Linked DNA regions of Canis lupus familiaris. The protein of the gene in region 3 interacts with the protein of the main gene of each other region in a biochemical or structural test. Links are inferred from orthologs where the notes say so. Each region holds a gene or a part of one and is shown on either strand. Other genes may lie near its edges.

Region 1 (3,654 bases), on a different chromosome or scaffold from region 3:
AGTTGAGAATTGCTGAAATCACCCATCTACAGCAACAATTACAGGTGAGAAAATACATTCCTTAACTGCTCTTAGGCTTACCTGCTTTTCCTCCAATTCATTCCATTCGTTTATCCCTACAAGTGTCCAGCATTTACATATACATGGAAACTAATAAAATTCTGGCTAGATTGATGGAGAAGAGGAGGAGGGAAAAGGAGAAAGAGCGGGGAAAAGTTGAAGAGGGAGAGAAGATGCAAATTCCCATTATAAGAAATGTAAGAACTGACATCGCTACAGATACTGTAGACTTGCAAAAAATTAAGGGAGTATTGTAAACAACTTGATACAAATAAATCTGACAACTTAGATGAAATGAAAAAATTCACTGAAAGATACAAATCATCAGGCTCAAGAAGAAACAGAAAATCTGAATAATACTTGTATATCTATTAAATACATTTTGCAGTTAAAAGTCGTACCACAAAAAAGCCTCCAGGCCCAGATGGCTTCACTGATGAATGAAAACTTTAAGGAAATAGTGCCATTTCAACACAAACATTTTTAGAAAATAGAGGAGGAAGGAATACTAATTTCTTATTTATTACCCCGATACCAAAACTAGGTAAGAACATTACAAGAAAACTATAAACCAGTATCTTTCAAGAATTTAAATTAAAAGATAATAATAGCATATTGAATCAAGTAAAATATTTTTGTAAATGGTAAAACACCATGACCAAGTATGGCTTATTTTAGGAATAAAAGGTTGGCTTAACATTCAAATTTCAACCAACATAAATCACCATACAAACAAGACAGAGAAAAAACTAACACATCTTGGTACATGCAGGGCAAAAAAAAATTATGACCCACTTCACCTATTCATGATGTAAAAAATAGTTTTTCATTTCTGATGTAACATTTTAAGATATATATCTACTTTTTTTTTTTAAGAGTTTATTTATTTATCCATGAGAAACAGAGAGAGGCAGGGTCACAGGCAGAGGGAGAAGCAGGCTCCATGCAAGGAGCCCAATGTGGGACTTGATCCCAGACCCCAGAATCACACTCTGAGCCAAAGGCAGATGCTCAAACACTGGGCCACCCAGGCGTCCCAAGATACAAAATTCCTTCTAAGCATTGTCATATAGCCATATTACAGAAATTTTTAATGTCTTTTCATATCCATTCAGTTCAAAATCTTTTTTTTATTTTCATGGTCATTTCTTCTTTGATGGGTTATTTAGAATTATGCTATTAGTTTCCAAATATTTTGATTGTTTTCCAGATATCTTACTGATTTCTGATGTATGTTATGAGCTGTGAGCATACTCTGTATGATTTTTAAGTTTACTGAGACTTGTTTTATGGCTTAGCATATGATCTGTGTTGGTGAATATTTTATGTGCATTTGTAAAGAATATATACTCTGTTGTAGTTGGGTGGAATGTTCCATAAACGTCAATTACAGCAAATTGATTGATCGTGTTTTTTGTGTTTTCTACATCTTTACTGATTTTGTGACCTCTTCCAGCTGCAGCGAGAGGAGTGTTGATAGCTCTATCATTGTAAATTTTTCCTTTTTCCTTCCAGTTCTCTCAGTTATTGTTTCATGTACTTTGAAGACCTAATCAATTTGAGATACTAGGATATGATATATAATGTAAATAGTATCAGATGTTCACTGCTAGAAATTGTTTAAACATATTAAAAAGTACATGTACCTTTTAAAAGTCTATTTTTCTATATGATAACTTTTTTTTTATATGTCTCTCATTAACTATGAGAAGTTTCATAAAATACTCTCTTGGAAAATGTAGGAATGAGGCTACATGTTTATTTATTATCTCACTGAATGCTCTGTGACCAAACACATTTTTATTATTTAAGATTGACACTTAGTGTGTTCATTTATTGGTAATAAAATACAAATCAGGGTCCCTGAAAAAATAGTAAAGTGAAAAATAATAAATGATTTCAGGAGGGCCTGGTATATCATAGGCTATGAGATATTGATTCCCCTTCTTTACTGTTATTAGCAAATATTTGCTATGCAGATGAGTCAGGTGGCCCTTCATATTTGCTTATGACTTTTTTAGGAATTTAGGTTGGCATTTAAAAGTGATGTTTATATAAATAAAACAGTCTCAGTATATGGACTAGGCTTTTTCTGGATGTGTCATTGTCTTGGTTCAAGAAAGAAACTTTGGAATTGGGTAAGGGGCCTTTCCTTAATTTAGGGAGGAGAATAGGAGAAGCTCAGTTGTCTGGGCCTTCTTGGGAAAACCATCTGAACTGTATATTCTGTTTTGTCAACTAAGGCATTTTTATTTTCTCAAACCAAAAATCAATGCATAGAGTTTTTTTCAAGTTTTTATTGAAATTCCACTTTGTTAACATACAATGCTTATTAGTTTCAGATGTAAGATTTAGTGATTCATCACTTACATATAACATACCCAATGCTCATCACAAGTGACCTCCTTAATGAGATTTTTTTTTAAACCAAGTTAAAAATGAAAGTCATATATTTGTTACTTTGTGCTGGAAAGGTTGTCATTTTACTGAAACGTATAGAAATAGAAACTATATAGGATAATATCAGGTAAACTTGTAAGCAAATAGTGCTTTGAGAGGTCATCCATGAAAACTCCAAATAGCCTTTTACAGTGTGCAGGTTAGTTTTCTTCTTATATCAGTTAAGAAATAGTTGGTTCAGGACTTTTGTATACCTGTTTAAAATTGTACATCCATCCTTGGTGGTAGAAAAACATATATGGCAGCCAAGATCCTATTGTTAGAAATCTCTTCTTGATTTCTATCTTTAGGCATATGGTAAACCTAATTCAGTGTTGAGAATTGTAATTCAGGTTACAAAGTTCAGAGTAGTTCCTATTCAAACTATGGAGTCATTTTCCACTAACAGAGTCACTGCATTTACATTTGATCCCAGTGCAAAGGAGAGATCATTGCTTTTCATTTTCTCTGCTGAATTGTACTTAAAGTACATTTCTAAAGCTTTATAAATAGGCAGTAAGTCAACAAAAATTTACAAAACCTCAAGAGAGCTATAACTGTCTTAACTTTATTTCAGTGAAAAGCATTTGGCAAATAGTTAATTGCTTGGCAAGAAAGCAAGAGCTGCCCTGACTGGTGATTAAATGCAGTTTCTATATAGGATTTGGGGTGAGATCAGATGCGTCTTTGAGGGACGAGAATACTGACTTACGTTTGCCCGGATGTGGAACGTAGACATGCTCGTTTTCCCTGTCAGTTCATTGTTGTTTTCCTTCCTCTCTCCTAGGAAGCCCAGCAAATGCTTGGAAGACTTATTCCAGAAAAGCAGATACTCAATGACCAATTAAAACAAGTTCAACAGAACAGTTTGCACAGTACGTGTTTTCTTTTTAAAGTTGGTCTTTTCCTTTTCTACTGGCAAGAATTTCCTTCGGTGAAATGAGAAGATTACATTTTTCTTCACTGCCCGTTTGCCTCTCTTATCTTGCAATGTTTTTCTAAAATAGGAGATTCACTGCTTACACTCAAAAGAGCGTTAGAAGCAAAAGAACTAGCTCGGCAGCAGCTACGCGATCAACTGGATGAAGTTGAGAAAGAAACCAGATCAAAACTACAGGAGATTGATATTTTCAATAATCAGCTGAAGGTAACTGT
Region 2 (3,654 bases), on a different chromosome or scaffold from region 3:
GATCTGAAAACTGGAAAAGTAGTGGTATCCTTTTAAAAGGAAAAATAAAGACCAGTTAAATGAATAGGACCAAATTCTAATATTCTAAACAGTAATCAAAAGAGCCTACATAACTATTATTCCATTTTTATGGTTTCATAGTTTTACTAATATTAGAAAAAATATCTTTTATTGCAAATACATTTCAAAAACAGTGAGTATTAAAATAGGTTTCTGAGGTAAATAATAAAAGTGTATTCCAACTTCCAAACAACCAATCTATGAACAAACTTAAATCTCAATTTCTTTAATTTAGGGATTTCCTTTTATAAGGATGACAGCACATCCAATATGCAATTTAAAAAATGTTTTCTCAGGTGCACCTAGGTGGCTCAGTCAGTCAATCTTCTGACTCTCGATTTCAGCTCAGGTCATGATATCATGGTCGTGAGATTGAGCCCCGAGTCAGGCGCTGCATTGAGTGTGGAACCTGCTTGAGATTCTCTTTTCTCCTCTGCCCCTCCCCACACACATGTGGGTGCACATACTCTCTTCCTCTCAAGAAAAAAAAAAAAAATTTCCCCCAGTTTAGTCCATTGCATTGTTTTAACTCTGAACAGAGAAGTCACAGTTCAGTTTTCTCCATTTTTCAGTGTAATGCAACAGAAGATATTTCAGAAATGCAAGACCAAAAGAATTCAAAAGGCCAAATAATCCAGCATAGTTTAATCACTGCTAGGGCTGTATTTTATTCAAAATAAATATGGTTGGAAAGAACATTGACTTTAGCTTCAGAAAATGTAAGTATACATCCCAACTTATCACCTGATTAATTTTAAAGCAGCAACTTACTCTTTCCAATCTTCTATTTATTTTTTTTTTAATACTCAGAGCTCTATTTCTATTTATTTGAAAATCAACTTACCGAAGATTCACTATCACGAATGAGGAAATCACCTTCATGCCCTCTTTCATTTAATGCCATTTCTGCTTGATGCCTGGTGACTTTCCCATAATACCATGGATTGCCAGCAAACTTTCCAGTGAGTGAAGGCCTAATGTAATCACACTGAGGAGGTGATGGTTCCAAACCTGAGGTTAATGGATTGTTCTGCATAATGGTAACATAGTTTTTTGGCACCAGACCAACCATTCCATTGATCTTCCTGCATTTCCACCATTCAGGGTCATTTTCAGGCTTTTCAATAACATCCATTACATCTCCTTTCTCAAAATTAAGTTCTTCATCATTGGACGAACTGAATGGGTAAAGAGCCTGTACCACATGCAACACTTGGCCAGTATTTAGGTTATTGACAACTGCTGCTAATTTTTCTGACAGAGAACCCACATGGTCACCCAAAGGACTGTCACCTTCCTCAGTTACATAGTTTGAAGGGAACCATCCAACTTGTCCATTGTAGCTACCTCGCCACCACCCATCACTGCATTTCTCCATGACGATCACCTTTGTCCCTTTTATCAATGACAATTCATCCTCTCTCTCTGCCATGTAGTTAAATTTTACATAAGCAGGCATGTTGAGATCATACAGACGTTCCCCTGGGTCAACAAAGCTATCATCAGCAGGTGATGCAGAATCTGGCACACTGTGTTTTCTTTTCACTTTTCCAATGCCTGTTCACATAAAAAGAGTAATAAAAGAATATAAGATAATGATAACCAAAAAATACAATTTTTCATTATTAAAAAAGGATCTTTACCTCTGTAGTTTTTTTAAGCCTTTAAATTTAGATAACAAATTTCTTCTTTTTTTCCTTTCTTTACATCTTCATGACTTGTTTATTTTATAACTGGAAGTTTGTACCTTTTGACTTCCTTCACAAATTTTTTTCACAACCAAACATATAAATCAGTTATTATATGACAGTTTATCCTCTCATCTTTTCTTTCAAAGGTGCTGAAATAATTGTATAACATAATGACAATTTCCCTAAATTTAACAAAATTTCTTCCAAATATAGATTATTTCTCTCATATCTACAACCTAAGTACATAGGTTCACCAAACCCCTATGCTTGTCTTACTTTATCAATCTAAATTCTATAATTAGCTGTATAAAAATAAAACAACAAATTACAACTTGATATGCAATATAAGTTGTAGGTCTGTCTGGGTAATCCTTTCATTTGCTTTCGTAGTTCCCATATCCATGCTGCTCTATTTACCTCATTATGTTTATTTTATTTTAAAGATTCTATTTATTTATTCATCAGAGAGAGAGAGAGAGTCAGAGACACAGGCAGAGGGAGAAGCAGGTTCCATGCACGGAGCCCGACGTGGGACTTGATCCCGGGGCCTCCAGGATCACGCCCTGGGCCGAAGGTGGTGCTAAACCACTGAGCCACCCGGGCTGCCCTGTTTATTTTATTTTATTTTATTTATTTTTGCCCTGTTTATTTTAAAGTAATACATTATTTCCTTGTTTTTCTCCCCTCACCCTCTTCACATGCGAGCTCCAGAAGAGCAGGGATTTTTGTTTACTTTGTTCACAGATACAAAACCAAAAATCTCAGACAGTGCTTAGTACATAGTAGATGCTTAATACATATTTGTTGAAAGAAATGAGAAAAGAACCACATGGTACTACCATCATAAATGTATGCTATGTCAACTTTGATCATGTGTTTTCACTGCTGATCATTTCTTAGCACATGATTTTGTGTTCTGCTTTTTTTTTTGTTTGTTTGTTTTGTTGGTTTTTTTTGTGTGTGTGTTCTGCTTTTACTGAGAAAATGGAGGCACTCCTAGATAAAACTCCTCAAACCTTCTCACTATCTCAAAACTCCTTATTACCCTCAATCTTTTTCTTCATGCAAATTTTCAATCTCTGATCCTCCCAGGATTTTAAATACCATTTTTCCTGCCTCTTTTGGGACTCTTGGCCATCCCTGTTTCCCTCCTACTCAGATCCTTCTACTGTCTAAAAACATACTCAGATCATTTCCATTCCAAAATAAAGTTACTTCAATCCTGCTACTCCTTTTGAACTATACCATTCTTTAAACATGGTAAAAAGACTCTTTTTCCCTTCAACTTCTTCACCATTCACTCACTCATTCCTAACTTCTTATGATCTGATCCTTTAATCTCTACCATTCTACCAAACTACTCAATAAAAACCATTCTTATAAAAATTGTGTCATCTCTTTACTGCCAATCAATAACTTTTAGAGCCCTCATTCTTTTCAAACTCTCAAGGCAGCAACTAAGATCACAGATTATTCTATTGTTTTTCTCCTTTAACTTCCCTGAGAGTCTCCTGTCTTACCTACTGACCTGTTTAAATATTTTTATTTATCTCTGTCTGGGCTCCCCTAAACCTTGTTATAAAATTGTACTGTATTTTCTGTCTTCCTTCTTTAATACGAGTTTCCTGAAGGCAGGAAAAAATACCTTTGTATTTTCAGCACCCACATAATAGGAACAAAATAAATGTTTGCTGAATGAAAAAGTGAAGAGATTCCTCAGTTAAAAGCGTTTCCCAAAATATGATGCCTGAACTTCCTCTCTACTTCAAGGATATCTTATACTTTTGTTTTTTGTAACTTCTGTATAGAAGGTTCTAATAAGGTCTCTCTGCAGGTCTAAGCTCTGTCTGGAATTCAAGAACTATGATTCCAACTGTCACTAGACGCCTACAGATTGTAGATA
Region 3 (4,320 bases):
ACAGTGAAGTGGTCTCCTAGAACCACTGGGGGTAGAAGAATGGTTCCCTTCGGGAGAATCATGACTAGAAACCAAATCTGAACTTTTCCTCTATACATGATCAAGTGAGTTGAAAAGCCTTGCTGAAGGCTGACACACTGGCCAGGGAGATTGTGAATGGGCTCCCATGTGACTTCTCAGGCTCGCATTTGAAATGAGGTGGGATAATCCAAGAGAAGTGATCAGTAAGACATAGAAAGGGAAATCGTAGGGAAAATGAGGCTGTTCTAATAAAAAGTCATGAGGGATTCTGGAATGTGCACTAGGATTAATTGTAGCAGCTCTAGTAAGTAGGCGTAGATAAACACTTGTTGAATGAATGGTCTTATGAACACTTTGTGTACACGAGTAGATTTGAAATTAATTTTGGAGGAGACTTTTAAAAGGAGACATTTTACAGATAGAAAAATGGCTACCATAATAGGAATGGTACAAATATTAAACAAAAAAAGATTCAACTCTAACAAATAAGAAAGGATATGATAGGATGGATTGTTTAATGATGATGCAATCAACATTCTAGTCTTAAAGGACTATATACTGTAATACTGGTGAAGTACATTTAATGCTCTAATAAAGATCACAGGAAATTATTAAAGTACTAGGTTTCCACCATGATGCAGCACTTCTAAAAATGTCTCTAATGGCATGGTTAACAGAATTGCTGAGATGTTGCTTCATTATTCTGAAGACACATGCAGACACTGATGACTCTCTAATGATGGAACACTGCACAATTCACAGACATTGTAGTAGAGATTAATAAAACGTTTTCTCTTCGACAAATTGCATGCATTTCAGTCACAGTATTGGTTAGACTCAGATCAGTACATATGCTTAATGAATAATCCATATTATGATACTAATGATGTAGGTAGATGTTCTATTATGAATAGAGCAAAGACCTCAAGCAAGGTAGAATGTTTAATATAACAATCTGTATACATGTTGCCTAGGAAATTAAAAAACAAAGTTCTGCTTAAAATACCCATTCTAGTCTAACCAAATTTTTTCCTACATGCCAAACTGTAACTTTAGATCATTCTTTAAGATGAAATACATACATCCAGAACTAGAAACCACGGCGTACCGCAATACGTGCTTTTATGCTTAGTGTTTGCATGTGATGTGTGTGTGTGTGTGTTTCAACTGAAAGAAATAAGAATCAACCATTTTCTCCATATAATAATTTAATATATGCCAGTCAAACAAAGTATTTGTATCTTTATTCAATTAAATTAAAACAGACCTGCCAGGTTTATTATATAACATTCACTATATACACATGATTTCAGCAATGCAAGGTAATTCTAGATATGCTGATTACTCAACTATCAGTAAAACATGAATGGTGTCAGTGATGCCCAGCAAGTGGTTCTTTTCACACTGGGTGACTACATTTCCAGAGTATGGTTAGAGGGACAGCTATGAGCCATGACATGGATTACCAGTAAACTTTTGTGGGAGAAGGGGGGAAAATAACAATCTAGCATAGATTAACAGTCTCCTAAATGTAAATCGTATACATGACAGTTACATTTTTAAAAAAGTTCTTCTGTCATGTTAATGACACAAAACTTATCTGGTTTGAAGGCAACACCACCATGTTTTGTTTGTGTAGGGAGGGTGGGGGAATGCTCTTAAAATTAGTATAATTACTCCTAAAAAGAGAGACAGAGAGAGAGAGAGAGAGAGAAAGAAAGAAAGAAAGAAAGAAAGAAAGAAAGAAAGAAAGAAAGAAAGAAAGAAAGAAAGAAAGAAAAAGAAAAGAAAGAAGAAAAAGAAAAAGGAAGGAAAGAAAAAGAAAAGAGAAAAGAAAAGAAAAAAGGAAGGAAGGAAGGAAGGAAGAAAGACAAAGTACCTCTTTGGTGAAGCCTTGGTACCCATTCACTTCACTGTAATAATCTGTAAACAGGACTGTGGCACAGTGCTGGGCCTTGACGCCAACAAGGTCAGGCAGCACAGCCACTCCTCACAGTCCTTTGAATGATTTTTAAGAAAATATTCTAAAGTAGGATGAGTAAAAGCAAAGGAAAACAAAGGAGATATGAAGATCCCTGTTTAAGATTTCTTTTTAAAAAGTGCATATTTTGAATTACAAAAACTGTCATCATGTGGGCCTGCTGGACACTAGACTGTGTTTTCCATCCCTTTAATGATAAAGATCACTTCACAAAAAGAGGACCCCTGCCTATCGGCTAGAAACAGTCCCTTCACTTGATTTTCAGGTGAAATCAGTTGTCCAATTCCTCTAGATCAGTCTTTCCATATTCTGAACGAATACCATTTTCATGTTCTAATTATGTCTAGGTTCAAGTTCATTGTCTCATACTGCATCCCGAAGGAGAGGCGTTAGTGTTTGGAGTTGTCATTTTAACTCCTCAGTGCTGGCACATTCAGTGCCCTCTATTGCCAGCCATGGAGCTGGGGCTAGGAAACGTCCATCCCAGAACAGAGAAACTCAGGAAGAATGGGCATTCTCCAACAGGGGTGGTCCATCTCTGTGCACAGATGGGTGTGTGTGCTCCCTTTTATAAGTTTTCGGAGGGAGTTTAGGGATATGTTGGGAAGTGCTTTGTCGTGGAGGAACAGGCGGCCCAGTGACTGAAGGAAGGTCCGCTTCTTGTGTCAATGGTGGTGATGGCAGATGCCTTCTCGTGCCATGGGGAGAAGGTGTTTGAGGAGGAGGTGGTGTAAAAGGGGAAGGGCTGTTTGGGAAGAAGGCATTGCCATGATCACTTTTTTTGCCCAGAGGGGGAGGCTGGAGATGTAGTGGTGAGCTGGAGAAAACATCAGGTGTCCTCACAGGTTCTCGTGGTGGTAATAAGGGAGGGCTCTCAGGAGGGTCTGATATAGAGGTCCGGTCTGATATTGAATATCGCGGTGAATAGGCTTTTGATGTGGGCTGCCTAGGAGGAATTGCTGGGGGGCTGTCCAAATGCTTAGACATAATCTGACACAAATGAGAAAAAGAATAAAACACAAATTTATTAATAATTGATGTAGTACCACAAACATATTATGAATTAAGTTGGGGTTTTCAAAAACACAACTGGTAGAGCCCTGGGTATGGTTCAGGGGGTTTTGCCATATGTTTTAAATGAGGGTTTAATACCAATTTGTTAAGATTTTTTTTTTCTAAGTTTTTATTTTTCTCAACATTTTGTCGCTTGCTACTGCTTACCTATCAGTCTAGTATAAAATCATTTACAATTTAACATAAGTTAATCTTATAATTTAAAACTTACTACATTAACATTTTTTGATGTTCTGCAAAGAGTGTCTTGACTTGTTCAGGTGCTCTGTTCTCTGGACACTTGAGAACCCCTGAATCAAGTTAAGAGTTGGCAAAGAAAGAAGCTTAAACAACTGGGGAAAAAAAGGCTATTATAAGCTGTTAAGGTCTCTTCCAACCCAGAATCATCAGGCAAATCCCATTTAAAAGCATGTCAGATCTGTTAAGGGCTCAGATAGGTAATGTTTAAGATTCACTTTAAATGTGCTTTCATACAAAGCTTCACACCTCTTTGCTTCTTTCTCTTTCCTTGCATAGTCTCTGCTTGAGACTACATTACTCTTTATAGATTAAGCTTGTTTTTTTCCTTGACAGTACCCATAATTTAGATTTATAAGGGTTCTTAAAACATACCAAAAAACTATGTTCAGAAGAAAATAAATAAACATAACTGCAGGGTAAATTGTATTTAGTTCTTGTCTACACTCTATTAAGCTCAGCTACCCTGAAGTTTCAGCCTAACCTGGTGGGAACATGATTCTACTGTAACCATAATGACTCCAGTGTCAAGATGACAGGATTCTACTTACCTTAGACGGTGAAGATTCGGCGGGGGCAGATTCCGGCCTTCTTCGTGGAGGAACAGGAGGGGGGACAGGTACTTCATCAGTGCCCTTGGTTAAACTTATAGATGATACTGAAGCAGATCCTGTAGGGTGTTACATTTTTTAAAAAGTTGACAGGTATTCTATTTCATCTCTTAATCCTGTAAAGGCTTAGCTGGAAACTGCTTATATTTATTAAAAGAAATGTACAGAATTATCAAAAGCAGTTCAATAAACCAGTACATAATAGGATTTCCTTTACTAAAGCAAATTGCTCTAAAAGCATGCAGAAATTTCCTAGCAGAATTTTCAGAAAAAACAAACAAAACTGCCTAAGATATTCTGTTATTTTGCTTCTTGAACAAAATAACATTCCCACTGTTAATTTTTTACTGGAATTTTTAATTTCAATATTATTCTCAGAATCTGGGAGAAACAGCA

What was found.
Region 1: the proteins of SOS1 (region 3) and ITSN1 form a complex in vitro, tested with the Homo sapiens proteins (2 studies listed by BioGRID, with this or other methods). The link is inferred for Canis lupus familiaris from reciprocal best matches to the Homo sapiens genes SOS1 and ITSN1.
Region 2: the proteins of SOS1 (region 3) and NCK1 form a complex in vitro, tested with the Homo sapiens proteins (2 studies listed by BioGRID). The link is inferred for Canis lupus familiaris from reciprocal best matches to the Homo sapiens genes SOS1 and NCK1.

What each region holds. Positions count from the first base shown.
Region 1 is NC_049252.1:28,942,811-28,946,464, forward strand, and holds part of ITSN1 (intersectin-1), read left to right. Parts: coding exon 1-44; intron 45-3,286; coding exon 3,287-3,374; intron 3,375-3,506; coding exon 3,507-3,646; intron 3,647-3,654. UniProt on the Homo sapiens protein: Adapter protein that provides a link between the endocytic membrane traffic and the actin assembly machinery. Acts as a guanine nucleotide exchange factor (GEF) for CDC42, and thereby stimulates actin nucleation mediated by WASL and the ARP2/3 complex.
Region 2 is NC_049244.1:33,889,362-33,893,015, reverse strand, and holds part of NCK1 (cytoplasmic protein NCK1), read right to left. Parts: intron 1,640-3,654; exon of another isoform or gene 1,618-1,639; coding exon 905-1,617; exon of another isoform or gene 871-904; intron 780-870; exon of another isoform or gene 633-779; intron 1-632. UniProt on the Homo sapiens protein: Adapter protein which associates with tyrosine-phosphorylated growth factor receptors, such as KDR and PDGFRB, or their cellular substrates. Maintains low levels of EIF2S1 phosphorylation by promoting its dephosphorylation by PP1.
Region 3 is NC_049238.1:31,169,206-31,173,525, forward strand, and holds the end of SOS1 (son of sevenless homolog 1), read right to left. Parts: intron 3,984-4,320; coding exon 3,865-3,983; intron 2,993-3,864; coding exon 2,501-2,992; 3' UTR 518-2,500; downstream 1-517.